Linked DNA regions of Tamandua tetradactyla. The protein of the gene in region 1 interacts with the protein of each later gene in a biochemical or structural test. Links are inferred from orthologs where the notes say so. Each region holds a gene or a part of one and is shown on either strand. Other genes may lie near its edges.

Region 1 (10,294 bases):
CCAGCTTTGCCAGTAATCTCAGCACCCGCCGGCCTAACTGGTGCCAAACCCAGGACACCCCCAAGCCCCCGGGTCTCCCAGGACTGCCTCACCAGATGCCAGTTTGGGGAGGTATTTTTCTTTCTGGGCCTTTGTGCCAAAGAGCAGGATGCCTTTGAAACCGATGCTCTGATGGGCCCCCAGAGTGATGCCCACGCCGAGGTCATGCATTCCCACAATCTCCACTAGGCGCGCGTACTGTGGGGGTGGGTGGGAGGGTAGGCAGGTGTGGGGCTGGGGTGGGGCCCAACCTGGGCCATCCCCACAGAGCCAATGCAGAGAGCAAGGTCAACTGTGAGAAGGGCACAACAGAGGGCACTGTGTCCACCCCAGTCTTGGTGGGAGGGGGACTTCCTGCTCTCCTTTTGCCAAGTGGTCCCACCTGACAGATTCACTTAAACTCGGAAACCAGGGTAGGGTCTGTGGCTGCAGGCAAGGGCACCTGTAGTCAGTGTGTTAAGTTTGAGGATGTGTGTGCACGGTGGGGAGAGTCAGCATCCCACAGGCTCCCGGGGCAGTAGTCTGGTCAGGAATGAACCCTAGAGGTGAAGAAGGGGCTGACTGCCAAGCTGGAGTGGTTTGGAAAGTGACTCGGGGGCTCTCCTCACCTGGGTATTGCAGAGGCCCACACCGCCCAACTCACTGGGCACTTGCAGACCAAAGGCCCCCAGCTCCTTAAGGCCCTGCAAAGTAGTCTCCTCCACCTGCTCCAGAGCGTCATTCTTGGCTGGATCATTCACCTCCTGGGAAAGAAGTCTCCGGATCCCACATCCAGACTCCTTTTAAATTCCTTAGCCCTGCCCCCCAACACCCTAGGGTCTAAGCCCTCCATCCCTCAGCTTCAGTCATTCCTTACTTGGAAGAAGCGGGACACTGGCCCCACAAGCTCCTTGAGAAACTGTGTCTGCTCCTCAGTGAGCACTGTGTAAGGGCAGGAAGAGGAAATGCAGGTAAGACAGGGCTGTCAGGGGAATGCCCTACCCCTCCCCACCTCTGAATAGCCATTCCCTTACCAGATGGGTATGGGAACACTTGGTCCGTGGTGAGATGGCCCTTAAACATCCCCACAGCAAAGGACTTAGATTCCTGTTCAGGGAAAAGAGAGTTTCAGGAAATTGTGTGGGACGGCTCTTTCCCAACTCAGTTCCCACGGGCCTTGGAACACATACCGTGTGGAGTTGTTTCTCTTTGGTGGGTACCTCAGGAAGGGAATCTGACTTATCCAGAACCGCCTGGGAAAAGGAATGGTTAGCGAGGTCGGGGAAGGGGCTTCCGGTGTGTCAAGGAGGGCAGATCCGGTCACCTTTCCCCTAGTTCCATCTCCTGCCCTTTCCCCTACTTCCGGTGCCAGCCTGCAGAACAGGTGTCTGGGGCATAAAGGGTGAGCCCTACTGACCGTGGGGCCCCGAGGCGAATCCCGACTCCCACACCTCTCTCCCACGTCCGTCGTCTCTCACCTGGGTGGCTCCACTGGCGTAGGGTCGGAGGGCAGGGCCCGGTTTGGGCTGCCCCAGGAGCGCGCTGCACCGCGAGCTGAGGGAAATGGGAGTTCAGGCCCGCCCCTGGGCCCCCCCGCTCCCCGTCCCCTGCTGTCATACACATACCTGCCGCCTCCTAACAGGAGTAGCTGCCGCCCCACGCTTGGGGCTATCCTTGCCCCCTGCATCTCCGCGCTGCTGAGGCCCCGGCTGCCTGGAGCTGACCTAACGCTTTCGCCCCGCCTCCCGCAGCCGGGTCCCTTCCACTTGACGCATCCTCCACAATGCACCGGGAGGCGGGCGGGCGGGGCTTCCCGGCGCCGGGCATGCCGGGAGTCGTAGTCCCGGAGCGCCCCCAGGCCCTGCATCCTGGTTGACCTGGAGTGATCTCCAAGCGTCATTTGTCCCTTCAAACTCCCTTATCCAGCCTGTCCAAATGAGAGGCTAGCCCTCCTCGGGAGGGATGATGAGATAGGATGGGACGGAAGAGGGAGGAGCTGAGGCGACTGCAGCCAGAGGGATTGAAGGTAGACTGAAGGGAGGACTTCCCACGTAGCATTAGAAGGGAGAAATTGAAAGACAGAAGTGTAAGGTGAACTCTAGAGGCAGACACATGGAAAGATGACTTTTCAGCCCCGAAAGAAATCCATCAATTTCAACCACAACCAAAGGGAAGGGAATGGTTGGGTGGGGTCTCAAACTATCCTCTTGAGACGTAGGAAGTGACACTCGAAGCACCGAAAATTTCACAATAGATGGCACTCCAGCACCCTGTGTTCACTGCCTCCCCCTATGGCCTCTAAGGCCTTCCTGGTCATCCATCTCTTTTTGCCCTCTGCTCCTTCCAGGATCATTGGGTCCAGGCTAGACCTCTGGGCAGATGGATTTTTCTGCCTGAAAAGAGCTATAGGAATACTCATCCCCTCTCTCTCCCATACTTCCCTGTGTGCTGACCCAGCCCTGGGTCAAAAAGTCTCAGGTAATTTATATTCCACTTCTGCAGTTCCATTGGGGAAAGGGCCCAGGAGGATAGAGCTGAGCTCAACTTCCTTACCTTTGTGCTGCAGGAACCTCTGTGTAGGGAAATTCTCTCTCCAAGCCCCACAGGAGAGCAGCTAAATTTGGGAAAAGAGGCCAGGGAATGTGGAGAAAGGGGGTGGCCGTGGGATCTGGGAAGGATGGAGCAGCAGGGCAAGTCAGTCAGAGATGTCTCCTTTCCCCAACAGTTAAAACTGGGTGGAGAGAAGGCAGCTCAATTTAATCCTGGGGGATTAGGGAGATTAAAATGAGAGAAGGGAGAGATGTCTGAGAGACCAAGAGGTGAAAGACGGAGCTCCTTTGGAGGGGTGGCCTGGGAGCAGAGGTGGGGGAACATGGTGCTGAGAGTCCCAGATTCTTGTCCTGAATCTTTCTGCAGGGTCTGGGGTAAAAAGGCAAAGGGTAGTGTTCCTGTAAGTGTCTCCGGCTTACCTCTTCCTGGCCCGATTCTTCCCTCACCTCCATTTCTCTAGCCCCCAGATCAGCTCTGTGGCTCCTGGCCCCCCCACTATTGCGGTGGGCACCCCCACTCCTTGCGGTGCTGCACAGTGACCTCTTCCAGGCCTTGCTGGGTGAGTAACCCCAATTTTCTAGGGGTTAGTTGTGGAAAAGGCTGGTTGGGACCCTGGAGCCTGCTGGAGGGGCTCTGGCCTTCTAGACAGCGGTGGTGACAGGAGAGGCAGAGGCCAGGTGGGGGATGTAACTCAGCTCTGTTCCTGTGACAGACATCCTGGACTATTATGAGGCCTCCATCTCAGAGAGTCAGGTAAGGGGGCAGCAGCAGGGGGCAGTGGCCTGTCTTGCAGAGGGAGCTGGCAGGATTAGAGGGGTCAGGAAAGGATTAATATTTAACTGAAGATGGGGTGGGGGTGGGGGTCCCAATAAGGGAACCCTGAGTCAGGGGCTTAGGGGCTTGGGGACTCCTGAGAATGTGCTCTTGCCTGTCCTTCTCCCTTTCCTCTGCCTGCCCCAATTTCAGACAGGAGAGTCCAGGACATAATTACTTTTCAGGCTTCCTTCTGGGAACCCCAAGTTAGAAGCAGTTCCCCAGGGATTCCCTCCTGCCAGCCCCTCCCTCACACCCTACCCCCCACCGTGGCCTCCCTCCATGATTTATTCCATCATGGGTGCTCCCAGCCCCAACCATGGGTGCTTCCTCCCCTAAGAAATGAAATCCGCCTTCATTGTCTTTGCTGCCGCGCTGGTGGCCCCAAGTCTCCATGTTTGCCTCAGGGCCTCTCCGCTTCTGCTTCCATCTCCCTTCCCATTATCCGGGTTCCTGCCGGCATTGAAGGAGTTAACTCTACCAAGGCACCCCCCCACAATCTCGCTCCTCGCTCCCTCCCTCCCTCCCCCTGCTTCCTCTCTCCTCCTCTCTCCCCTTCCCTCCTCGGCTCCACGGCTCCCTCAGCCGCTGCCGCCTCCAACCCCCCCACCCCACTCCCCCGCCACGGCCCTTAGCCCCTGGCCTTTAGGCAAGACCCCCCCACCCCCAGGGCTCCCCCAAATCCAGTTCCCCTCCCCCATCCCATCTCATGCCCCAGCTCCCGAACCCCGGGGCTGCCAGCCCCCGGTGCCCCTGCCCCTCCTGAAAATCGGGGTGTGCTCCCCAAGCCCCCTCCCCTTCATTGGGGTCCCCCTTTTAGGGCCCCCTTTCCCTCCCTCCCACGCTCCCCTCCTCTTCCCTTTTCCAACCCTCTCCTTCCCCTCTCACCCCTCCCCCCATCCTGGCCCCCCCTGCAAAAGTGGGGTGCGGAGGGGGGAGGGGTGAGAACCTGAGGAGGGGAGGAACGAAACTCCGATGAAGTCAGAGCCCCTTACCCGCCGCCGCGGCCAGGCCCCCCAACATGGACTGTCTCTGTATAGTGACAACCAAGGTAAGCGTGATGGAGGGGGGCCATCAACGCGGGTGGGGTGGGTATGAGTTCGTGGGGGGGCAGGCAGGCCTAATCTGGGACTGGGGGCTCTGGAGTGCGAGCATCAGAAATAAATGTATTTAGGGGTCATCATTTAGTTTTGGGGTGCACATCTCAGAAAAGGCTGGGTTTGGCCACAGGTGCCCCCTGGAGTGATCCCTTTGAACCTGTAGAGGAATTGAAATTTGGGGGTGTTCTATGGTTTGGGGGCTCTTGTGGGTTTGGGGGTTCACCAGCTATGTTTGAGGGAGACTTATTGAAGGAGAAGCCTGGCTCACATGGTAGTCCTGCTTGTTATGTTGGAAGGTGGGCTAAGTGGAGGTGGTTGTCTTCTTCCCTCCTGGGGTCCAAACTGGTTTCCAGGTTCCTTGTCCAATTTGAGGGGTTCTTGTGTGTGGGGGTAGAAGGTTATTGATTGTGAGTGCCTGACTGGTTTGGGGGTGTCAGCTGGCAGGGAAGGGGTGGGCCTTCAGGCTATAGAACAAGCATCTTGTGGTAAATATATTTTTTGGGGGGTACATCCTCAATTTGAGGGAACTGCTAATCTGGGGGTTCAATCATATGGTATGGGAATAGTTGAGAGTTGTCAGAGGGCTGGTGCCCAACACCTGAGGGTGGACTAGGTGAGGCTAGGATTTGGGGTACCCCCATGGGAGGTGGCAGGTTGCAGCAGCTGAGGTTGCCAGCTCCTGAGGAGGCGAGAGATTTCGAGAGAAGGGATTTGAGGAGGGAGACCAGGTAGACAGTGTGAAATTTGGGGGTGGCCCAGGCAGGTACCCAATCTCCCCATCTCCTCCCACACTGCATCCACCCCTGAAAGGGGAGAAGAGCAGATGGAGGAGGAGGCTTCTGCTACTCCTGAAGCTTGGGACCCAGGTGGGGTGGGGGGAGGACACCTGGATGTAAGGGTCCCTAAGATTTATGACCTAGGTTTCCGGGGTGAAAAGGAGGAGGAGGAAGGCAGGGCTGGCAGCAGCCAGAATCTGTTGTCCCTGTGATTGGAGCCTGGGACAGGCAGGAAATCTTGGATGGGAACTCAAGCCAGCTTCTGGTGGGATGCAGAATACCTGGGTCTTTGCTGGGAGACTCTGGGACTGGAGAGCTGGATGCCTGGAGTGTGGAGGGAAGCTTGGGCGGATGGCAGGCAGCTGGGGGCTGGGGGGTGGGACAGGAAGTGGGGGCCGGGGGGGGCGGGGTCCGGGTGAGTCACAGGCTGGGGAGGGGGTTATATTTAGTGGGAACTGCAGCTTCTCAGGGGAGGAAGCTGAGGACACACATGTTCCCTGCCACAAACTCACACATGTGTGTACACATGCGTTGTGCACGTGTGAGCATGGATGGAACAGATTGAGGGGGTTGAGGCCCTTTGGTCCTGGAACCCCTAACCCCTCCCAGGGTTACTTCCTTGTCCTTTATTCTGTGGCCTACCTGCCTGGGCCACCCCCAAATATCAGGCTGCTTCCCTCCTCCTCTGGGTAGTTTTAGTGGATCGTTGTTCCTCAGTTGCTCTGGCCCAGCCTCCTTTGATGTCTGTCTGATCCTCTGCTCCTCCTGTTTCCTGCCCTTGGCCTTAGGCTCTCTGGCTCTGGTTCCCTGTGTACAGGAAACCCATTGGAATCTGTGGGCTCTGCTTCCAACACTTAAACTCACAAACGAGTGAGGGTGAGGGGCTTGCCTGCTCTGGCAGCTATCCTCAGGGGGGCTTATTCATCCCCCTACAGATTCCTACTTCCCTGATGGAGCGCGAGGTTGGGTATCCCCAGGAGAAGGCTTATGCAGAGAGGGTCCTGCATTTGGGGTCTTACAGAGACGTGAAGACCCGGTCTTGCCACATTCCTTGGCCGGAAAACTTGTCTGCCTCGCCATAGCGAGGACTCCAACTCCCATAAGGCACTGAGACAGAAGCTCCCTCAATATTAGAAGATTGCTGCTCGCGGAGCTTTTGGGAGTTGTGGTTCAGCCTCTATCCAGGGCAGCAGAGGGTAGCCCAGAGGGAGCCAGCAGGGGGCACACAGCTCCTGCCCCCCCCTTAAAATGCTGGGTGGGGTAAGGAGCGCTCAGGCTGCTTGCGGTCGTTGAGCTCCCAGCATTGTCTGAGAGACCTCCATCTTTCCTTGCCTATATTTAGGCTCCTGCCGCAGTAATTTAGGGAACCTATATTGGATGCCTACTATGTGCCAGGCCCATGTTTTGTGCAAACTCTGCCTGTACAGCTTTCACTGGGTCTAACTCCTTGCCTCTATTTCTACCGGCATTTCGATCTCGGCATCTCTTTCTCCCACTCCGCCCCCGTCCCTGCCCCCTTCTCCCCGCGCTGCTGCCGCCGTTGCCATGGTAACCGGCGACGACTGAAGTTGCGTGGCTGGCTTGAGGGCTGGACGAGGCTGGCGGAGGGTGGGGCAGAACAAATGGGGGAGGGGGAAAAGTGGGGAAAAGACCAGGGGTATTTGGCCAGAGCCCCGGATGCGAAGAGGTTAAACCCTCGGGGTGGTCCTTATTGGGCAAAGCGAAGAAGCCGGGGGCGGGGCAGTTTGGCAAACGGCCTCATTCATTGGCCGACAGAGGCGTGGCGGAGGGACCGTGTGGGCGAGGCCCCAGAGCGGATGGGCGGGAAGTGGACGGAGGCGTGGTCTCCTGTAGGCAAGTGGGAGGGGTCCGGCGTACGCTGTCGAGGGAGGCGGGGAAACAGTCCTTGGAAAGGGGCGGTGCCTGGGGGCTGGGTTACCTGACCGAAATGGGGCGGGAATGACCAGGGGAGGGGCGTGGAGTGGATCCCATGTGTCACCCAGGGAGACAGGGTGTGAAGGCCTGTGTCTAAGTCACTGTGGGGGCGTAGGGGTCTTTGGAAAGGAGAATCCGGGATCTGGGAGATCTGACGTCTCAATTTTCCTAAGATGGAGGCCTGTTCAGATTTCATCAGAGCACCCCTCCCACCTCAGCTCTGTGTTCCAGGGAGACGGTTGCTAAGCGACAACGAAGTCCTCGATTGCTGAGTTGCCAGGCAACGGGGAAACGGAAAATGGAGGGAAAAAGGAAATGAGGAGTGGGGGAGGGTCCTAATGGGCCATAGCGCCCGCTGGTGGAGAACCAGGGCATTTTTCTCTTCTGGAAGAATTTCGAGTCCGGCCCCTTCGGTTCTGGGTTCTGACTGCCCTGGAGAAGCCAATCCCGATATGAAACTAGGGCATTGGGGGTCATCTTGGGGGCACATCGAACAGATGCTAATCATCGCATGGATGAGATTCTGGGGAAGTCGTCCTCTCTGCTATGTGTGGGCATTTTAGACAGCCAATTTGAGGAGACCACTCCCAGGGTTTTAAGAGCTGGAAATGTGGCGTTCAATGGGAGAATATTTGGAAGAGAGGCTTTCAAGTTCAGTTGTTTAGGAGAACATGGAAGCCCCTGAAGAGACCCGAGTTGGGGTGTTGTGGAAGATTTGAAGGTCGCTGTGATTTGTAGTCCAGGTCTTACTTGGGTATTTTTTGAGGCTGGATTGGGGAAGATATGTTTGGGAGCATCTGCAAATCAGGAATTCAAAGTCATGGAAGCAGTGATGAGAATGAGGGAAGGCAGGCAGGAAAGGGAGTGATCTGAACTTGGAAGGTAAAGAGAAGGAACAAAGAAATATCCTTTAATTTAAGGGTTTGGGAATAAATTGAAGAGATTGCAATTTAATTTGCAGGGTCAGCTTTAAAGTAGATTAAGGATTCCCTGAAATGAGAGTGTGATGGTGTTGGGGACTGGTATATAAGAAAATCATTAAATTCAGAAATTTGGACTGTCCTCAGACAAATTTGAGGACTCCTTTGGATGTCAACATTAGAGCAAGGGAAATACTTGTTCTAATTTCAAGGTCTCTGTTAGTGAATTGGGGGATAGATGTTATTTAGAAAGGGATGATTTAAGGGATCTATAAATTTGAGGACATAAGGCTCTGGGCCCCTTAACATCTTGAAGCATTGTTCTGTCCGGTGGGGCTGGATTGCAGGGAGACAGATGTTTTTGAATTTGAGGCCATGCTGGCCCCTTTAACAATCTTTGGGAAGTTTGGGGGGAGGGGCTGGTGGGAGAAGCAGTTTAGATTCCTTGGGGGTTCTTAGGAAGTGAGAGAAAAGTCCTGCTTCCTTCACTGTCTTCTGGGAGTCCAGCAGTGAGGAGAGGGCCAGTGAGGTTTTTGAATGGTTCTTAAGGGCCTGGTGATTTGGGGGATGGAAGATTACATGGAATAAGGGGTCCTTAAGAAAGAGAGCAATGAATTGGTAAATTTTATGAAAGTCTCCATTGGTAGAGGGATTGGAATAGGCGTATACTGTGGGATGCGAAGTCCACTGAGAAACAGCTGGAACAGGGAAGTTGGTGGCTAGGAGGGTCTCCCCTCACCCCTCTCTTTCTCTCTCTCATCGTGACGCTCTCCCGCACTGCGCAGGCGCCGCTCCCCCCCCCCTCCGGCCGCAGCCTCCTCTCGCCGCGGCCGCCGCAGCCCCCGCCCCTCTGCCCCTCCCCCTCCCCTACCCCGGGACCCTTGATATCCCACCCACCCCCCCTCCCCATAGTCCCCTTCCCCTTCTCCATGTCGGCTCGGAACAGATTCGCCTCCATGTGTCTCTGCGTGGTACGTGCCGCGGTATGGGCTCCGGCCCCCCTCCCCTCTTCCCGGACCCCCCCCAAATCTCGAGGGGTCTTGTAAGCTTCAAGTGCTGTCGCTCTTCCCTCTGCTTGGCGCGGGGTCTCTGGGTTGCAACTTCTCGCGAACAGGCACAGGGGGTTGCCCCTCTTATCATTATCCACTTTCCCTCACAGCCATCTGTGTTGGGGGTGCAAGCCTGGGTTGCAGGTCATCCTGTGCAACTGGGACAACCATGATAAGGGGACCAAGGGGAAAGGAAGAGCAGCGACCCCGTCTGTATCTTCCCTGGCCTTGTGCTTGTCATGCCCTATTATATTGGGGGTGTCCACTTGATCCCAATAGCCTCAGAGCTGTGGAGGGTCAGAGTTCTGAATTCCAAGGGGCTAAAAGGGGAATCCTCCTTTCCTGCCTTAGTTGCCCTATAATCCAGGTTTGAGGAGTACTAAATTGAACCCCACCTCTCCCAGTTGCAGTTTCAGAATTTACTCTCCCCATCCCTAGAAGCGTTTTCTTTCTTTCTCTCTCTTTCCTTCCCCCTTTCCCCCTTATTATATGTACATAGACAATTTTCAGGGACTGAATTTAGGCCCTAACCTACTCCAGTTGCATTCTGGGAACTTTGGTGCACTTTCCTGGTTCCCCATTTCCCTCATGTTGTCTCCCAATCCAGAGGAGTCTTTTCCTTAGTCCTAGACACCCCACCATGCACATGGGGCCTGGAGTGGTGTGTGGGGTCTTACAAGGATAAAAATTTACTTTCATTGGCTCTCTAGAATGAAGGATGAAATGCCTCTCTTCATACTTCTGTTTTCTTTAGGTGTGCCTTCACAGTTTTCTTCATCAGATTCAGGAATTTTCTCTTTGAGTGAGGCGAAGATGGAGAGTGTTAGGGCTCAAACCCTTTTCCAGAGTCCAAAACTGAGAGCTGTGTGGTTGGCCCTGGCTCCTTAATCAAGCAGGGAATTAGGGGTTATTGCGAAGTTGGAGAGGAGAGCTGCTTCCCCACCTCTTTCTCACCCCTGAACCCCACCCCCCTCCAGGTCTGGCTTACTGTCATTCAGCTCTGGCACTGTCCAGGCTGAAGACCCACAGTCTTGTTAAGTTCATAGAACTCTATGATCCAAGACAGCTCTGCCTTTGAGAAAGGCGTTTGGCTTCCGCCTTCTGATTTCTCTGCTTTTTGTGCCCATGGTACT
Region 2 (10,294 bases), on another chromosome or scaffold:
CTAGGTATTCCTAATAAGGATCTTGCAACATCAGAAAATTTTGCTGATGAAATTTTTATATCTAATCAACTCTGGCTTAAATTTTTTAAAACTTTTTAATTGTATATTATAACATATATACAAAGCAAAGAAAGAAAAAAAAGCAATAATCTTCAGAGCACTCTTCCAAAAGCAGCTACAAGACAGATCCTAGAGTCTGTCATAGGCTACCATACCATCCTCTCAGAATTTTCCTACTAGCTGTTCCAGAATATAGGAGGCTAGAAGGAATAAATATTTTTTTATCATCGCAATCAACCTTTTTTCTTTGTTTGTGATAAATAACATATATAGCAAAAAAGCAATAAATTTCAAAGCGCAGCACCACAATTAGTTTTAGAATAGATTTCAGAGTTTGCCATGGGTTACAATTCCACAATTTTAGGTTTTCACTTCTAGCTGCCCTAAGATACTGAAGACTAAAAGAAACATCAGTCCAGTGATTCAGCAATCGTATTCATTTGTCAAACCCTACCTTCTCTGTATAACTCCACCATCACCCTTGATCTTTCTATCCCACTCTTTAGGGGTATTTGGGCTATGCCCATTCTAACTTTTTCATGTTGGAAGGGGCTGTCAAGAACATGGGGTAGGAATATGGAACTAGCTGATGTTCTGGTGAGGCTGGCCTCTCTAGGTTTCAAGGCTTAACTGGTCCATGGACCCATCTGGAGGTTGTAGTTTTCTGAAAAGTCCCTTACATTCTGTATTATACACCTCCAATTTTACCTTTACCATGGTCATAAAAGTGGAGTCATACAGTATCTATCCTTTTGTGTCTGGTTTATTTCACTCAGCATTGTGTCCTCAAGGCTCATCCAATTCTGGCTTACATTTCACCTGGGAAGTTAAGATGAGACTTAATACAGCCCCCCATTCCCCACCTTCACTTTTTTCCACTTGTTAGATGTCATTTGATGTAGTGGTTCCTTCTCTTAGGTTGGTAGATCTCAAGGCACCTGATCTGGGGAGTCAATACCTACATCCATTAGAAGCCCATCAAATCTACAAGCATTGCTGTTATATCTAATCATAGCATAAACTTTATCTCTCACTGTTGCCAATGCATATTAGTAAGATTCCCTGCCCAGCTTCACACTCCACAAGTCGATACCTTCTTTCTGTATTTGTAACCCATTGATGCTTGTCAACCTAGACTTCTGACCCACTGTCCAATTCCGATCAGTCATGCTTGCTCTTACTCTAGCCTATACCGAATTTAGATGTTTCCGTGCCAGGCTGTTACCTTTGATACACACAGGAGCCTTCATTAGACTCTCCCTGGTCTCTGATTCTTCATTCAGTGTGATTCCTGTCTCCATTCGACTTGTTCAAACTTCATCTGTTACTGAACGCATCCTCTATGCCCTTGTTTTGCTTTGAACTTCAGGTTCTATTTCCTCACCACCATACTCTGGCCTGGAACGGGAAAAAAAAATCCCCTGAAGAAACGATGAGAAAACATTGGAAGAAAAGAAACCAAATGAAAGAATCATCAACCCCCTTAAGCATGCCAACAATGAGAAGGAAATGAAGTTCTCTGGGAGGTAGAGGCATCTAGTGGTTGGTTCCTCAGTGTATTGCCTTTTCTTTCCTTATCCAATAATCCCAATTTATAATTCAGTGTCACTAGGATAGGTAATCTGCCTTGTTCTCTATTGTTCCCCAGTCTTGGTCCAGTGTTTGAACCATGATAGATGCTCAATAAACATTTGTTGAATGAATGAATGAATGAATGACACTATCATATCAGTAGGAGCAGTAGTAAAAGGCAGGTTAAGCAAAAGTATTTAGTTTGGATCTTGACTGATAAAGCAACTAATTCAAATTGGCTAACTACTTTGAAACGTTCCATAAAACAGAGTAATGTGTTCCACTAACACCTAAACAATTGCCATATCTTTAATGATTAAAAGCAAATAGTGAAATAGTGCTTATTAGCCCCCAATATATACATATATCTCTCTATATATTATGTATAATTATTCTCACACTACTGTATACTATTCCAGATAATTTAAATTTTAAAAAGGTTTTATTATTCTCCACATTTAAATGCTGACCAGCAACAATAATTACTTGCATAACAAATTTCAGAAATTTTCATTTACTTATCAATGGATAATTCACTCTAAAAATTACAAGAATATTGTTTTCTATTTGAACATTAACAGCAAGATACAGAACTATATTTAAACAGTTTTGACTTAAACAAGGACATCACTCTCCTAAAACTGCCATACTTTGGATTACAAAATGAAACATGAACTTATATAAATATTTTGAAGTATTAGATTTTATTCCTAAAAATTAAGTATAACTTCCATATACAATTACAGTTGCTTCAGATTTTGAAAAGTGATTTGAAAAATCATGAGGTGAGGCATTTAGCATTTAGATGCTATTTCTGTATCACATAACCTATTAATAAATGAACAGAAAAGTATTTTTCATTTAGCATTGAGTACTACAATTTGAGGAGAATAAGCTAATAACTTTCTATCCTTACAGTGAATTAGGTAATTCAGGGTATTTCTCTCTTCTGAAACCAACAGAAGCAGGAGGCAAAAGATGGCAGCAGTGAGTCGTTCCAAAATCTAACGTTACACATTTTACTTTTTTTCAATATTATTTAATTGTGAATTTAATATTATCTTAAGTTACAAATTATTTTAGGAAAATAGGACTCATAAATGTTCCAGTGAGGCCTGGCACACAGCAAATTAAATCGCAGTAGCCCACGGCATCATTGCCACCTCAAATATCCACCTTCCCCTACCCCCAAAAGAGTCTGAAGGCACTAACTATGGGTCCTTCCCACAGCTCATGTTTAGTAAATAGGATTTGCCATTGCTCATATCAAAAAGGAATAAAAAAACTTTTAGGACATTATTTTCTTAACCTACATAGGCATTAAAGACATTTTCTGAGGATAGTAATATCTTTACATCTACTTTTAATTTTAACCCCAAAATCAAATGACCTTCCCTCAAAGAGCAACTCTTCTCCAACTTTTTGAGTTAAAAGATGCAAAACTGTCCAAAGTCAAAGTGGAAATGAAGAGCATCTTTTAAAATATAATGTGTCCTAATGCACACAGTGCTGCTAATTGGTCTTGTACCAAGTTCTCAACATAATTGAACAGCCTTTCTGAGACCTAAAAGGAAATATACAGTTCAACATGTGCTGACAAATGGCACTGCAGTGTCATAGGACGAATAAGGAAGAAGGGTGATTTTAATATCCAACTGGCTTTAAGACCTGCAGCCAAGCTGGAGAACTACTTTTGGAGGTGAGGTCAAGTTTGTATGGGCACTTACAGCCCACCCCCCCAACCCCAGCCTTCCCCAGGAGATTAAAAGTGAACATTTGCACAGCTGTCAAGAGTTCATGCTTAATCTACTGCTTTGTGCATTTAATTAGACCTATTTAGCCCACCTAAAACTTTACTCTTTAAATTATATTTTAACTTACTCCAAACCACAATAGAAAATAGTCCAGAATTATTGTGCTTTTTAAAATTGCTGAATAATCTCTCTGACACAAAATAGAAGCACATTGTTACTGAAAATCATAGGCCCCCAAATCCCTTATATTAGAATTTCCTGTTAATCTGTCTTAGAAACAGGCTCTGGGAAGGAGCAGGATGGGGGGTGGGGGAGAAGATCACAGCCTCAGACCATTTGGGATCTACAGCCAGAGAAGATGAGCTGGCGGCTTGATTAGGAGCATTTGCCCTGGCCCCTGGACAAGCCGAGCTCAGCCTGCCAACGTCTTGTAAATGCAGCAGGGGTGAGCTGTGTCATGACTCTTGAAACAGAGGAACACGCGGTGAAGGCTCAGAGGGCTTGGTTGACGCATGCCAAGGGTCTTGTTTTCCAACAAGACTCTCAATAGGGTGATTCTACTTGTCTGGTTTTCACAGTAAAGGCACACGGAAAAGTCCTCATGGGGTAAATGGGCTGGAAAACCATCAGTTGACATGGAAAAACAATCTGAAAATGAAGAACGCAATGCTGGATCATTATGGGGACCAACAGGTATTTCCATTTTAACCTGGGAAATGGGTCAAAAGAGGAGGAAGAGGAAGTCACCAAGTCCTGAAGAAGACCAAGAAAAAGAAGGAAATGGAGCTCAGGAGAATGAGGGGAACTTATTACAATCTATTCAAGTTCCAGATGGGACAAGGGTCACTGCTCAGGAATTAGATATATATTCCAGATTCAGTCAGAATGGTTTTGCTTAAGAAAGTCTCCCCCTCCGAAAAACATATGCTTAACTTTTAAAAAACATTTAAAATATATATTTAGTGTCTTAAAAATATCTTAAAATTATGGAGACCCTGGGAACACTGGGCAGGCACCCTGGACAGCCTTCTCAGAGAGATGTGTAGCCTTCTTTGCTCTAGAACCACAGTATTTGAAAGAACCTCCACTTCCAGCCTCCAGAGTGCAAGTCCAGACTGCTTCCCCACCCGAAGCTATTCTAGAACCCTTTCCACCCCTGCCCTTTTGTTTGCAGGCTGACACCGGCCCCGCCGGCATAAACTGACAGCGGCTTGCAAGCGAACGAAGGAACCGGCCCTTTGAAGGGTTCCATCCCTTCCCCGGATCGCTTCCAGCTTTCGCGTGCCTCCCCAGCATCCACTCAGGTCTGGTCCAGGGTGTGCGTTCCCCAGGATGCAGGGCCCTCTCCCAACCCTGGGCCTCCTCCCTTCTCTCCTGCAGCTGCTGCTGCTGTTGCGAAAACCAGAAGTGGAATGCGCACGCCGAAGCGCCGCGCTCTCGCGGCGACACTGGGCATGCTCGGCACCCAGGGCAGGTTTCTGCGGCGGGGCGGACGCTGCCTCAGTAGCCGGGCGCACGAGGCGGCCGCCGAGGCATAGGTGGAGGCTGAGGAGGAGCCTCGCCCTCGGCGGCAGCGGCGGCGGCGGCAGCCGCGCAGGTGGCGGGGGCCGCGGGGCGCACTGGGCGAGCGCACAGCGCCGGGCGCCCGCGGCGGCCCCAGGCTCGCGCCCGCGGCGGCAGCTGGCCGAGCCGAGCGCCGGGCGCGGCGGCGACAGCGGCAGCGGCGGCTGCTCTCCAGCCCGGCCGGCGGCGCCCGGAGCCCGCGAAGCCCGCGGAGCCCTCGGAGCGCGCGGGAGCCGGGCAGGGGGCGCTGCGCTCGGCGCGCTCGGAGGGGCCGGGGCCGGGCGCCGCGCCCTCGCGTCGGGTGCCGCCTCTCGCCCGCGGCGCTCGCCCCTGCTGCCCGCCGGCTGCGCCTGTCCCGCGGCTACGCTCAGACAACAAAAGCGGAGGATGCTGCAGTTGGGCAAGGTCAGGACCTTGCCCTGAAGCCGGGCGGCGGCGCGCTCGCCTTTCCCCGGACTGAGGAGCTGTCCCTGGCGGCGGGTGCATGTTCGCCAGGAAGCAGTCGGGCGCCGCGCCGTTGGGTGAGTTGCCTTTGCTGGGCTGGCGGGGCCAGGCGTATCCTCCTCCTGGGCGTCGTCGTCTTGGTCGTCGTCGTTCTCCCCGCCGCCCGGGGGGGGGGGGGGGGTTGGTTCGCGGCTCCGGGCCGGCTGGCGGCGGCGACGGCTGCTGCGCGGTCCTGCCTGCCAGGGGAGAGGACCGCGATCGCGCCCGGTCCGCTCTCGGAAGGCGGCTGTGGTCGGGAACGGGGTCCAGGGTTAGTGCCTTTCTCGGAGCGGTTACCAAGTGGCTTCTCTGCGTGCTCTCCCTCCCTGCCCACCTAGCTCCCCCGGAGGAGGCGTATATAGGGCAACACCAACAAGGCTCCAGAACCTACCCGTTGCATTCATGACGTCCCTAATCTACGGGAGAAGACGGGGTGGGGGTGGGGAGGACTTCCCTCCAGGCTTTCGCCCTTATGCTCAATGTCATTACGATGTTTGGCTAGAACAAAATGGAAATACTTAGTCATATGCGTCTGGGGCCGTTCCTTCAGCTTCCCGCTGCTTGCCAGACCGTGAGCCCCTTTGGTCTATATTTAGCGGTTTCCGAGGAAGCATTTTCAGCTGGATTCACAGGTTTCGGGGGCATCTGCGTCCTGACAATAGATAGCCAGGCTCTGGAAAGCGCCGCCTGAATCCAGGTTTGGAAAGCCGTGCATGTGTACAGGAGGTAGGCGATGCGATGTTTGGGTGATCGGTAATTAATGGCTGAAAGCAGAGCTGCTTCGCTTTTCTCCCGACCTTCCTCTTATTCGGGCGTGTAATGTGTTTGCACGGTTTGCTGCTCGGCGGGTTCCAGCCCTCCGTTCTGAATTGTCACTACTGAGGTGGTGTAGCCTTCCAGGTCTGTGTGGTGGGCAAACAGGGTTTCGGGTGTTTGCATGGGTTACCGCAAAGAAGAGTTACTTCCAAGATGCCTGAAGTTGCGTTTCATTGTAAATATGGGTATATAGGAGGATGCAGAGAGAAAGAGGGACAGTTTCAGGTTTTAAGGTGTTTTTTTTTCCCTCCCTTCTTCGTGTGCATCAGTTGAAGTGATCTGGTTTGCTTTGGCTCTGGATATTATGAAAATGCGTGGCTAATGCTCGCATGCAAGTATGTTGGTTGGGATAAAGGATGTCAGTGGCAGGCCTGCCGCACATAGATTTTCACTTTTAGTGACTATGGGACTAATAATTAAGGGGCTTGACATTTTCCGCAGTGACTTCCATGAAAGTAGGGAGATGTTGGAAACTATCTGGGAGTTATCCTGTTGTGCATCTTCCCATCGGCAACCCAACCCAGTCCATTTCTTTGCTGTTAGTGATTCACCTGCATGTTTAAAAGGCTTCAGAGCCGCGCCACTTCTGAAAATCCCATGGCGGAGTGTTTGACATGACTCATATCAAATTACAGGGATGAACCTGTGCATAATTTTGGGTGTTTGTTCTATGGGAAGTATTACAAATAGAGGCGGCATCCTCCTCCTCTGTGCTTTAATCTGCTGTAAAATATCTTTGTGTGTGTGTGGCTAACAGATCTTTCCACCTCCAAGTCCATTGTTAATGTTGTTGACAAAAACGTTAAGTGGCATCATTACTAGTCTGTGAATTATCAGGTTTTCAGGTCTTGCAAGATTACATTCAGAGTTATGTGTTGAAATTTGGGAGGCATAATTATATTGAGAACAAGTCAGCATTGCAGAATGACAGGCAAGGTCTATGAGGCTTGCATTTTTTGGAGCAGTTAACTATCCAGTGTGATTAGTTTGACTAGTATTACTTTAGGTTCACCTTATCAGAGAACTTTCCAAGAGCACTTTGAGTACACTGTTGTGCTTGATGCATTGTTCTTTCACAAAACATCTTTTTACAAAGAGGCCTTGGAGGAAGTAGACGTGCATTTCTCACTTTCCTTTTTGATTTTTTTTTTTTGGGGGGGGGTCTGGTGTTTCAGTTTGAACTGATGCTTGAGAAACTGGTCCCTAGTACTGTGTGCCCAAGTGTGCATCAAGAGAGTAGCTCTGGGCATAAGGGAAAAAACTGCATGATTTGTCTGTGTGGGTTTTATATTATACTGTGGATTACAAAAGATAGTATCTGATTAAATGGCAGTTGTAGGGAGTACTTGGGGTGGTTACTCCAAAAAATTTGTTATTATCTTGCAGAAAGGAGTTATTTAATTTGGTGTATGTTTGTGTAATTATAGAACCTACTCATTTTAGATGTCACTAATATTTTCACTGTAATAAAAGTCATGTATTGTCAAATGGCAGTATTTCCACCAACTTCACATCTTTCATAAGAGAATACAAGCTGTTTTTCCTCCCCATGAAAAAATTCATCATAAGAATAAAATGATAGTTAATGGGTATTAGTTGAACAATGTAGTTTATAGCTTGTTAGATGATTTCTAAGCATAACATCACTTTCACAATGGCCTCTACAATTAAAAAAAACGACAGTAAAGTATTCTCAAACATAACATTAATTTTGGCAACTAAGTGAAGATGCTGTGCCTTTTCTGAAAATTTTATAGAACATATTATTTTCTGGTGTGCCTTACCAAAGTCCTCTTTCTTATGGCTTGTGTTTATGTGGAACTGAAGAATTTTTGCAGAGTGATTTCATCAGGTGGTTCTTTTGCACAAATACAGTAAAGTTTTGTTTAAAATAATATGATTTCATTTGGTAGTCCATAACATTAGGTACACTTTATATGGATTAATAAAGCTAGTTGTAACAAGGCAGGTAAACTAAATAAAGCACAGTTACAACACCTCGAACTTCTAAAAGTATATTTTTCCCTTTATGTTTACTGACAGACCTGGAAACATCCGTCTTTGGTTGTTTCCCCATGTGAACATTATTTTCACTTTCGTAGTAGAGAATTGATGATTCTGTTTCAGTCTTCCTGGTGTAATCTGTTTCAAATGATTCCATATGGTTAGGAAGGCTGACACTTGAATACCGTATTTGAGACAATGAGTACATATCATGAGTAGACTCCTGGGAAGGCAACTGTGGCTCAGTGGCAGAGTTCTTACTTACCATACCAGAGACCTGGGTTCATTTCCCAGTGTCTGCCGCTGTTAAATAAATTAATAATAATAATAATAAAGGGTAGACTGCCAGTTATTTTTAAATACAGTTCTGCAGACTGAGGTGTGGTACGGTGGGTCTTTGCTGGCTGAGTTACAGGTCAGAAATGAATTCTTCATTTGACTCCCACCATAGATTTTAGAATCCATATTCCAAAGGTATTCTGAGGGCCATGGCACTTTGATGCCTGTGTGATCACTGTTATATGGTTGCATGTGGAAAGTTAATTTGAGTGGGAACAGTTCATGACACCTGTTGCTAGCTTCAAGTCTATCTGATTATATGCCAAAGTAACAGGTTTTTATATTAACATAAAATATTAAACATGTCATAGATAAATAGTTCCTATCATATTGACTGCCAATTCAGGCTACTGATGAATAAACTGCCAGTTTGGGTGTAATGACTCCAATTATATTCATAAACAGTACTTCTAACACCGGAAACTCACTGCGATATTTTATCATCCTGTGCTTTTGCTCCGTTAATAATATCCGCACTCCAAAATGTGTAGTTATGACACCCACCACTTGATCACATACCACTTCAGTGTAATTTCAAGCTCCGTATTGTGGTTAATTGATGTGTAGGAAATGTCTAGGCTATATTAGGATTCTGAAATTATGCTCTGTATCAATTAGTTTTTGACAAATTGGAAATAATGACCAAATAGGTGAAACAATGCTTCTTAAAAGCTTTCCATCTTAGACAAATATTCACCTGTGTTTCTCAGTGAAAAAGAGTCCTGAAAAGTGATCTGTAAAGTGAATTACATATATAGAAACTCATTATTCATCAATTGCCCATTCATCTTCAGAAATATATTTCTACAGAAAAGTTGGGCTCTGCCCTATATGAGTGACCTTAGAATGGAATGTTCTTTAGATTCTCCTTCTGGTGGGTGCAAAGATGTGGAAAGAGCACTGGCTTTGGATGGATCCCAGCTGTGTCACCTCTTGCCTGTGTGATCCTCAGCGTGTTTTAACAGTTTCTTTATCTGTTTAATAGGTATTATAAGGCAGAATGTCTCAACAGACTGTTTCAAGGATCAGTGGTTGTTTATACAGATGCAAGAGATACATATATACCGATTAGATGGATACTTATGATTCGTATTTATATTATTAAATTGATTATATAGGCTACTTTCCTCCTTAACAAAGACTATTAAATAGATACACTGTCTTTGGCCCTGCTGTAATGTTATTTTGTTCTACAGATTTGTATATAATATAGGCCAAATTTTCTACTCTGAAACATACTAATCGTTTTCTTAAAATGTAAAATAGTGAAGCTAAAAGAGAAGCAATTTTTTTCTCCTAACACAATATTTAAAAAAAGATTCTAATCTAATTGTCGGAAATTGTGAAAGTTTGATATTCTGTATTCGTTATATTATTCACTTGACTATAATGAAATTTTCTACATAGACTAAGATTGTACAAAGAATATAGTCAGGTTAATGAACATCCCTTTCTGAGAAGTCAAATATTAAACAAAGTTCAAAGTCATGGAGCATGAATCCTTTCATAGTGTCATGACAAAGCAGAAAAAGAAACCTTAAACAGTGAATTTTTTTTATGTAAGGAGACGACCCATCTATCCCTCTCAATCAAAATCTAGTCCTGGGTGGGAAAAGAGGCTAAAAAAAAAGTGTGTCCATTGGTACCTTTTGTGAAAGTAAATGGTCATTTTCGCTTTCATTTCACTCTTAATATTTTTGGTG
Region 3 (10,294 bases), on another chromosome or scaffold:
TTGTGGGAGCCTGGAATACCTTCATGGAGTAATTGGAGGCCCATGACATACACAGGTCAATTCAATTTGACCAGCAGTTATTAACCATCTACTATGTGTAGTCTTAGCAGGCGAGGTGCTAAGACTACTTAGGAAAGTCTATGATCTAGTTGGAAAGAGGGACTAAAACAGGCATAAAAATGTCAGGCAGCTTCCTCTAAGTACCAAATAGTAAATAGTTAAGTTTGTCTACTCTTGATAGGGAAGTAGAAATTCCTTGAGAGGTTTATTTGAAATTATAGTCTCAGGAAGGCTTGCTTTCATGCAGTGTGAAATGTGTGCAACTGAGAAAGCCATGAATCAAAAAACTGCAGACTGAGAGAACTGGTAATTGTCCCCATCCCTATTCCTGCACCCCCACAATTCAAAAACTCTGACTCCATGCTACCTAGACAGAACAGTCATCACTCTCATCCTTCCCCTTGCATATAAATCCTACCCATTTTTTATTCCAACCTATTTTCAATAAATCTATGTCATAGTCTGCGTTTCCCCAAACCTTCTCCAAACCTTGCTTAGAAGGTAGTTGTGCTTTGGAGCTGTATGTATCCTAGATTAACATGTTCTTAAATTCAATCCATTTCTGTGAATGTTCATTCATTGTAAATAGGACCTTTTGATGAGGTTACTTCAGTTAAGATGTGGCTCACCTCAATCAGGATGGGTCTTAATTCGATTACTGGAGTCCTTATAAAGTGGAATGATTCAGACAAAGAGAGAGAAAGCCATGGGAAGCAAAAAGCTGAAGGTCAATGGAATTCAGAAGAGAAATGGGAGGCCAGGAGAGGCCCCATGTGCATTGCCATGTGACAGAGGAGCCAAGGGCCAAGGATCACTGGTATGAGTCCCAGAACTCCAGTCTTTGGAAAGAAAACATTGCCTAGTTTATGCCTTGATTTGGACTTCTCCTAGTCTCAAAACTGTGAACCATTAAATTCTCATGGCTTAAGCCAATCCATTGCACAGTGTTTGATTGAGCATCCAAGGAAACTAAAACAGTAATCAATGCTAATGGTGTCTAAGCTAATCCGTTTCTTTTGTGGAACTTTCACATTCTACTCAGATCATAATTTGCATGTATGTGTCTTATCCCAACAACTAGTTTTTCAGCTCCTTGCTAGTAGGCTCTGTTTGTAATTCATCTTTTTATCTACCCCTTCAAACTTCATACAATGTACTCCCTGTTGTTAGGCCCTGTGCTAAACACTTCATGTCATCAACTCAACTTTCAGAACAACTCCGCCATGTGGCGACATTATCATTATTGTCATTTCACAGTGAGCAAGAAGGCTCAGAGAATATAAGTCATTTGCACACATACACAGAGCTGGGAATCAGAGCCAGGCTGGCCCTAGGCTCAGGTCCACAGAACCTCCTAGCAGAGTATTCTGGAGTTTCTACTGGGTTCTCTCTGCTGGGGATTCTTTACCAGGGGCACCTGCTTCTCTCCCAGACCTGGTTCATGTCCCTCATTGCCTCTGGCAAGTCTTTTCTGCTACCTTTCCTTCTGGAAGAGCTGCCAGGTCATCAGTGTGGGGTGGAAGTCCACCTTCTGCTCCACAGGCAACTGGTGAACCCTAGTGGGGGCTGAAGCTAATCGAGGAAGGGACTCCTTTTTGTAATTCTAATTCTTAGAAGGCATTGCCTTATTGCAGCTTATATACATTCATCTGTAATACACACAGAGGCATCTGGGGTGTTAGCTGGGTGCTAGAACTGACCGTTTCTTTCTCCAGAGCCTTGCCTGCAGAGAGGCCTTTTGCCTCTCTCTCTCTCTTAAGTAATGAACCTCTTGAAGGTAGGACTCATGCCCAGTTGTCCTTGGATCCAGCAAGAGGACTGGTACAACTCTACTTAATGCCTATTGATAGAAGCATAGAAGGCTAATGGATAGAAGGAAGAATGAAGGAAAGGAGGAACATAGATACATTTCGTAAGGTTGACAAGATTCATTCATTCCTCTGTGCAATCAGCATAAGTTTATTGAGAAACCCACAGTATGAGCCATCTCAGAGTAGACAATGGGAAAACAAAGACACCTAAGGCATTCTGCTTCTGGCTTAAAAGGAGAAACTCATTTATTCTTTCCTACCTTTTAGTACAGAGCGGAATTACTTCAAGCTGATTCCTTTACATACCCCATGAGATTTCCTGGGGTCTCATCTTCCCAGGCTCCTAATTATTTAACATGTTCAGAACAGAGAGAGTCTTTTTATATACACGAGGGCCTTGAATTTATAAATACAAACGTGCTTGGAGTGTGGGAAATTCCACTTTAAGAACGACTTCTCGGCTCTGTGTTTCCCATCTGTTTGCTATCCTGCAGCGCTTTGCCTACCTACCTCCTTTTACCCAACCAGAACAGAACCCAGACCTGTCTCCCCAGCACAGCTCCCTTCTTTCCCCAGCCTCACCTCCTCCTTACCAGAAGGTAGTGCTAATTGTCCCCTGGGCTTCCCTCAATGTGAACCTAAAGGCTTGTCTGTGGAAAGCAAAGTGAATTGTCTGGTCTGGACAGCTCCTCCTGGCTTTGGTGCTTGGGATCTCCCTAATGACTTGAATGAAATAATGCGATTTCCTGGGCATTGTGGAATTCTGAAGTCTCCTGCTATTAAAGCTACTGCAAAGAATTCTTGAGAAACTAAATGCAAAAAGCAATTCGTGTACTTGTCTTCTTGGGCCATTAGCTTGTGTCATTTCTCTTGTGCATGCCCATTCTAAGAGGCTCCCGCTGCCTCCATGTTCGGGGCTGTTAAGATGGAGGGAAGTGTGATGCTCTAAGGAAACAGTGATGCCAGATGAATGTGAACATCATGCAGATGCTAAGCCCTGCGATGGGGAAACCCATCGTTCCTGTTCATAAAGAAACGTTTTCTAATAGGGGTAAGATGAATTTGGAGTGTCAAGGGCATTTGTGGTTTGTATTCCTAACATTTGCTAATGGTTGGAAATTGCATAGTTACTTAGCATCTTTGAAATTTAGAGGAAACTTAGCTTCTTATCATTTAGATGTCATCAAATGTATCTTGCAATGGTTGCATGAGGTATGGGTTTAGAAGTGCCAGCATGGGCCTGGCAGATGGGAGGTGCCCAGCAGCTGACTGTCATGATATTCGAAAGTGTTGGACACGAGCTCCTCATAGAGCCCCTCACAGAGCTGAGAAGCTCGTTGGAGGAGCCCATCCCTCAGGTCACGAAGGCTTTGGTATTATAGATGTCAGAGTCCAAGCAGGAACACAGAACCCATTCTGAATGTTTAAAGCAGGAAGTGTTTGCACGGATGCTGAAAGAGCTGAGAGACCAACAGGAGAAAGTGGGATGCCCAGAGACTAGCAGAACACAAGCCATGATGAGACCCAGGCTGGAGGGACAGCTGACAGAGCTGGGGCACCAGAGGAGACACAACTGTCTCTCAGAAATGTTCCCTGAAAAGCTGATGAGAAAAAAATACCTGAACTTCTTTCCTCCTTCCCTCATCATCCCACCTCTTGTCAGTTCTTTCTGACCAAATCTAGCCAGAAGCTGGGCCCATAGGGAAATCTAAGCTATGCAGCCTTTAGGGGTGAAACCCCACATGGCCCCAAAGAAAGCAGAATCGAAGTAAAGCAAGGAACATATCTCAGGACCAGCAGGCTCAGGCCTTGGGCCAGCCTGGTGGTCTTTAGAACTTCAGGGATTGAGGAATCAGAGGAAGCAGTCTGGTTCAGGGTCTTCAACTTGTGTTATATTGTTTCCAACCAATCTCCCCTCCACCTGTCCTGTCCCCCACCTCCCCCACATCTCTCTTTCTACATGTTCCTGAGGTTTGGTGCTCAAGCTGAGTCATTCTTTGTGTCTACAGATTGGAAAGGAGGAGGGGCAGCAGCCCTGCTGGGGCCATCACTTCCCTCTGTTGTTGCTACTACTGTTTAAATACCTGAGTGCATGCACAGGGAGGTTGGAGAGGGGATGGATTCTGCTTACCCATGGCTTCTGGGACAAAAAGCCTGGTGGGCTCTCCTGGGGATCCCAGGATGCTATGGCTCTGAGCCTGCCCTTGGGGTATGGCCTTAAAGGAGGTTGCTCTCTGGGACCACATCCTTTAGAGCTTAAAATTCTGGTCTCAAACTCAGACTTACACCAGTAAAATAGAACACTCTTTAGGATTAATTTTTGTAGCTCATTTGCCATTTTTCTCACGAGTCTCTCCTTCACCAGCTGTGTTAAACTTCATTTATATAAACTCCTTTCATACATTCTATTATTGAAACTAACCTAGAGCCATCCATAGCAATATATCATTCTAAATTTGGGAAAAGCATCGTGCATCAAGAGATTAAAAAAAATAATAATAACATCAAAGTAGTTTACTCCCCCAACTACGGTGCATCTCCTGATGGAATATAGTTCAATCATTAAATATTTATGCCGATATGGGAAAATGTTTGTGTTACAGTGTAAATGGGAAAAGCACAGGATGGAAACTTATGTCAGAAAAAGGAAGTAACAAATGAGCCAACAATGGCATAGAAAAATGTCAAGAAGAGAAAACACTAAAATGTTGTCTTTGGGGATGGCACTATGATTCTTATACAAAGAGACTAAGTTTACCCCTTGATCTTAGGGACTGGTCTTATCTTTAAATCATCTTCCCTTCTCTTTCCCCAGAGTCTTTTGACACTTAACATACAGGAAGCTCATGGAAGTGTCCCCAAGGCATCAAATTGCTTCCAAGGCCACACAACCAGCCATGGCTGAGGCTGGACCTGATTCTCTTGAGTCTCTATTCAGTTTTCTTCCCTGGCCACCTGCCACCTTGAGTAGGTGACACCGAGTCAGGAGTGAAGACGCCCCTCACCTGCCCAGACTGAAGGGCAGCCTTGAGGTCACAATGGACAGGACTCATGACAGCACCATTGAGGCACTGGAAGAAATCAGAAGGGAGCAATGAGGAATTACAGATCTGAAAGTAACCTGGTCCATCAGATTCCCTTCTGTATGCTGCATTTCTCTGGAACTCTAATTCTGTGGACTTTTTCCCGTGTGATACTTCCAAGTCAAATTAGATAAATTGTTGATTCATTTCTGTGCTCCCTCAGGATTATCTTCTTTTTAACATCGTTGACTCTTTGCCTATCTCCTCAAAAGCCATAACATTTTCCTTCCATCCTGGCAAATCTGATGAGATTTCATTGCTTTATATAATGTCTCAGTTGTACAAAGAAAATGCTTCTAATGGCTACATTTCAGTGAAGTTATTTCCTATGGACTGTTCTGGAAATAAAAGAAAGTCTTAAAGCGATTTTTCCTTTCCCCAATGTTCACAGATTTAGAAGTAGAAAAATAAAGAGATTTTTTCCTCAGCATCCTTTTAACACTCTTGAAACTAATGTCATGTTCTTCTGGACAACCTGATGTGCGAGAGTTAGTTATGGGGATGTGGAGTTGAATATTTTTTTCATTTTGTTTATTTTAATGAAACGGACATTAGTCTTTGGGAATTGGAGAGGAATGAAAGCCTCCTGCGACTTATTGTGAAATGAAATTTCTTTCAAGCTCTTTTGTCCAAAGATGAGATTGGTAAGGTCATATGCATACAGTATGGATTTTCAATTGGGTTAATCAACTATTAGAACCTCAGAGCAGCAGCCTTGCCCCCAGCCTCATCTCCACAGCTCCATGAAGAAGCAGCACTGGAGAACTATTCCCCTCACTTCCTGCTCTGTAATGTGAAGATGGGATCACAGCACCGCCTTTGCTGTGGTCATTGTCAGGAAGCTATGGGGCATGCATGGAATGGTTCCAAGAGCTGTCTTCTTCATCCTCACAGCAGCAGTGGACCAGAGCTTGCAAGGTAGATCTACTTTTTATTTACCCCAAATTTCAAAGTTGTTGGCACTTGTGGGAGCTACAGGTATGGCTCTTGGCAACAGGCCAGGGTGAGGAATGGGACAAGTTGCGAGCATCAGAGATTTCCAGGGTTGGAGGAGACCTCAGATGAGGGTGTTGGCAGAGTCACTGGGTCTGTAACCTTTGGGCCCATAGAGGACAAAAAGTTAGGCGAAGGGGCAGGATGGTCAGGTGTTATGGGTTGTTGGCGAGATTTTCCAGACACTACCCTGGTTCTAGGCCTAATGAGACATTAACTAGCTGTGTCCCCTTGACTATGCATCATGAAGGAACTGGAACTAGATAATTTTTAAGGATTATTCCAGTCTCAGGAAACAAATTTCAAACAAACAAAGCAAAATAAATAAATACATACATGCATACATAAACTTCCTGTTTTATTTTTGAGGAAGCATTTGCTTATTTCTTTCCTACACAAATAAACTTACTGTTTACTATTCAGTGTTCCTCCCAGGCCCTAAAATAGTGACTTTTATTTTCAGAAATAAGCAAATAGTTCAGTTTGGCTGGGGCATAGGAAGAAAGCAAAATGGCAACTAATATGAAATGTGACCAGGCCATACATGCAGACCATCTCTCAGATTTGGGCATGAGGAGCCACATGCGTGGCCCATTTTTTAGAGAAACACTTTGCTGGGCTTCCTGCAGTCCTGACCCACTGCCAGAGGTTTGGGAGTCTGGGGCTAAGAGGGGTGTCCCCTTCCCCCCAACGTCCCTTCCTATACTGTGCTCTGGATACCTGAGTCTTCCCACATCAAGCGTTCTCAAGGGCTGTGTGGCCTCTCCCTTAGGTGTCAGAGCCTAGGATTTGGATAGCTCCGAATTCTAGGGGTAGCCAAAGGTTCTATTTACAGGGGTGGCGTTCTGCATGTAAGGGTTGAAATGTCCATGTGCCTAAGTATGAGGTAGTTCATAGTGCCTAAAGGAGCCAGGGGTTGGAAGAAAATAGGCGCAGTCTGCGGGCTTTGCCAGGGGCTGAAGTCAGCGTTTCGGATGTGGTATGGTCCAGCCAGAACTCTAAGAAGTCTGAGAATTCTAGCCAAATATATTGCATGGAGTCCAATAATTTGCAGAGAAATATATCATATTATGTGAAGCAGTGATAGTGATGAGCACTATATAGCAAAGTAAAGCAAAGTAGGGGGGTAGAGTGCATGTGTGCATGTGCATGCGTGCGTGCGTGCGTGTGTGTGTGTCTGTCTGTGTAAGCTCTTTTAGGAAGGGAGGTCAGGGAAGTTCCCTCTGAGGTGGCAACATTTAAGCGGAGACCTGAATGAAGTGAGGAAATAAATGCAAAAGGGCATCTCAGCAGAGGGGCCCAGTGTAGCAGAAAGAAGCTTGCCTGGCTAGCAGGAGTGATAGATGAGTTGTATACATAGGAGGAGACCAACTGAGTCTTTGTAGACCATGATAAGGCTTCTTATTCTGAGAATGATGGGAAGTCACTGTAGGGATTTGAGCAGAGGAGCCACATAATCTGATTTTTTTCATTAAAACTTGACAGTAGAGCAGCCAGGGTGGAAACAGAAAGACAGTTGGGATGTTACTGCAGTATTCTGTTCCAAAAATGAAAAGAGTTTGAATGGAGATTGGTTCTACCATTTGCAGGTAGAACAAAAGAGATTTGTTTGATGGCATGTGGCTAGTGGGAGAAAGAGTAGTTAGGGATTGTATTAGCTAGGGTTCTCTAGAGAAACAGAATCAGCAGGAGATATCTATAAGATTTATAAAAGTGTCTCACACAACTGCAGGGAATGTAAAAAAAGATCTGTAGGGTGGGCTGTGAGCTGGCAGCTCCAATGAAGTTCCTCAGCGAACTCTCAGGAGAGGCTGGCTGGCTGAAGCAGAAAGAATGATTGCCTCTTCTGCATTCTCCTTAAAAGCCTTCCAGTGATTAGATTAAGTATCACTCATTGCAGGAGACATTCCCACAGCATCTGCAATCGGCTGTGGATGCAGCCAACATGCTTTTGATTTAAGTCCATGAAATGTCATCACAGCAACAGACAGGCCAGCGCTTGCCCAACCAGATGACTGGGCACCACCAACTGGCCAAGTTGACACACGAACCTGACCATGACAGTCCACCCATTGTCAGCTTGGCAGCCACACACATCACCTTAAACTATACTTAGTCTCTAAATAGAAAACAGTAACAGACACAATTTTTCCTCGCCTAACAATGTTCACCTGTCCTGTGTGTAGAAGGGCATTAAATGCATTAAAGGGGTAGAAGATGGGGTTTTGGAAAGAGAGGCAGAGAGAAGCAATATGAAGGGCAGAAGAAGGATGATGCAAGTCAGGGAAATAAGGAAGAGAAAGTTTCAAGAAAGTGGTCACGGTTAACCGTGCAGTGAAGAAATGAAAGAAGATGACCACTGTGGTAGTTTGAAGCTATATGTATCCCAGAAACATATGTTCTTACACTGAATCCATTTCTGTGGGTGTGAACCTATTGTAAGTAGGACCTTTTGATGAGGTTCCTTCAGTTAAGGTGTGACCCACCTCTATCAGGATGGGTCTTAATCCTGTTACTGGAGTCCTTTATAAGAGAATGAAATTCAGACAGAAAGAAAGCCACAAGAAGCAAGAAGCTACATAATGGAACTCTGAAGAGAAAGGAGAGAGGAGGAGATGCCACTATGTACCTAGCCATGCGATAAAGGAGCCAAATATCAGGGGCCATCAGCCCCAGAATGCCATAGTCTTCAGGGAGAAAGCATCTCCGTGATGATGCCTTTCTTTTACCAAAGATGATGAACTTTCTTTTAGCATCAAAGCTGTAAATTAATAAATTCCTATTGTTTATGTGTACACATTTCATGGTACCCAGAAAAGAGCTTTCAAATGAGCAGTGAAGTCGTCATTGATGGCTTTTGACAGTATTTTCCACTGTGTGCTAGTTCAAAAGTTGAAAAGCAAGTGGATGGTAGAAGTGTTCTGAGAACTCAAAAGTTCTATCCATATAAGGTGGCATTGATGTTATTTTGTTATGGAAATAGAAACCACTTATGAGAATTAGATGCCACTTTTAAAACCCCATTCTAGCACATCCAGAACCCATCGATCTTTTGTGTAAGGCACCTATAAAAACAATAGTCAGAGCGGTGGGGGATAATCCAGGTTTTGGAGATAGTCTCAGACTTCCTCAAGAAGGAAACCAGCACTACATCCTGCCAAGAACAGATGCTGTGCTGACCAAAGTTCCTTATTTTCATGCTATTGGCTGACACTGCTGATAAAATATAGTTTGTTGTTTCCCTTTTCTTTTAAATAAGCAAGCTGGATTACTTGGAGGAGAGGAGGCAGGAGAGATAGAGGAGACAGAAACAAGGCAGCTAAAAGAAGAAACCCTCAGGTGAGCATGTTTATCTTTGTCTTGGTAATTTATTGTTGAGTAATGTGCCTTGCTTGTCATAGTTAGAAGAGCAATTTTTGAAGACTAAAGTTCACTTTGTTCTACTGTAAATTTATTTTTTCTTAGCATGTACATGGTAATTTAAAAATATTGGGAAGTACAAAAAAGTAAAAAAGAATAATAAACAGAGAAAACTTCAATTGATATTGTTGGATATTTCTTTCCATTTTTTTTGTGTTTGTGTGTATAATATCAGTTTGACTTTTATACTTGGGTTCAGACAATATGTACATATGTGTATGTTTTTGTCCATTACAGCATAAGTATCTTCCATATTGCTATGAAGTTTTCATAAACGTAATTTAAAATTGCTGCTTAATCGTGCATTGAGATTTACTACACTTTGCCCAACCACTTAGCTGTTTTTCATCACATAGACTCTTCCTTATTTTTCATAAACTGTATATAAGATATACATATTTTTTTTCCATTTGGGATCTTGTTTTATGGGGAGAGGATGTTCAGTTCAAGAATGTAGATATCAGTGGTTTTTCTCAGAGGCACCACGAAAATGAAAGAGTGTGTGAGAGCCGGTGCTTAAAATATGCTTATTACCCCTTTGGGACCTCAACTCTGCCTACACATTCAGCCAGAATTACTTTATTCTAAAGAGGTTAAAAAATTACCCCCAGAATAATTAAAATTAAATTTTGGGGGATGAGTCCGGCATTTAGTTTAGCTTTGTGTTTTCCAGAAACTAATGGACAGCCAGCGCATAACAGGTGACCCAAATCATTTGAAATATTTCCTGTTTCTGACACATACCTGAAAGGAGGTAAAATTTCAGGCAACTCATCCAAACCTCTCTTTCAATCCCTACTTATGTAAATGCCAAGAGAAATTTCTGGGAAATGTTAAACTCTAGAAATTTCTCTCATCCATCTCAACCACAAAAGCTCTTGAGGTGAGAATCTGCTTGGGAGTTTTAATTTACTAGTGCTTTCAGGA

Evidence for each region.
Region 2: the proteins of DLG4 (region 1) and CTNND2 interact in a test that uses a peptide from one of them, tested with the Homo sapiens proteins (2 studies listed by IntAct, with this or other methods). The link is inferred for Tamandua tetradactyla from reciprocal best matches to the Homo sapiens genes DLG4 and CTNND2.
Region 3: the proteins of DLG4 (region 1) and CYSLTR2 interact in a biophysical measurement, tested with the Homo sapiens proteins (2 studies listed by IntAct, with this or other methods). The link is inferred for Tamandua tetradactyla from reciprocal best matches to the Homo sapiens genes DLG4 and CYSLTR2.

The regions. Positions count from the first base shown.
Region 1 is NC_135332.1:61,082,016-61,092,309, reverse strand, and holds the start of DLG4 (disks large homolog 4), read left to right. Parts: upstream 1-4,067; 5' UTR 4,068-4,402; coding exon 4,403-4,432; intron 4,433-9,069; exon of another isoform or gene 9,070-10,294. Other genes in the region: ACADVL (very long-chain specific acyl-CoA dehydrogenase, mitochondrial), read right to left, coding at 93-237, 648-818, 896-960, 1,053-1,125, 1,209-1,271, 1,497-1,572, 1,644-1,705. UniProt on the Homo sapiens protein: Postsynaptic scaffolding protein that plays a critical role in synaptogenesis and synaptic plasticity by providing a platform for the postsynaptic clustering of crucial synaptic proteins.
Region 2 is NC_135335.1:60,554,435-60,564,728, reverse strand, and holds the start of CTNND2 (catenin delta-2), read left to right. Parts: upstream 1-5,330; 5' UTR 5,331-5,433; coding exon 5,434-5,470; intron 5,471-10,294. UniProt on the Homo sapiens protein: Has a critical role in neuronal development, particularly in the formation and/or maintenance of dendritic spines and synapses. Involved in the regulation of Wnt signaling.
Region 3 is NC_135330.1:109,567,575-109,577,868, reverse strand, and holds the start of CYSLTR2 (cysteinyl leukotriene receptor 2), read left to right. Parts: upstream 1-4,935; 5' UTR 4,936-5,872; intron 5,873-9,000; exon of another isoform or gene 9,001-9,206; 5' UTR 9,207-9,286; intron 9,287-10,294. UniProt on the Homo sapiens protein: Receptor for cysteinyl leukotrienes. The response is mediated via a G-protein that activates a phosphatidylinositol-calcium second messenger system.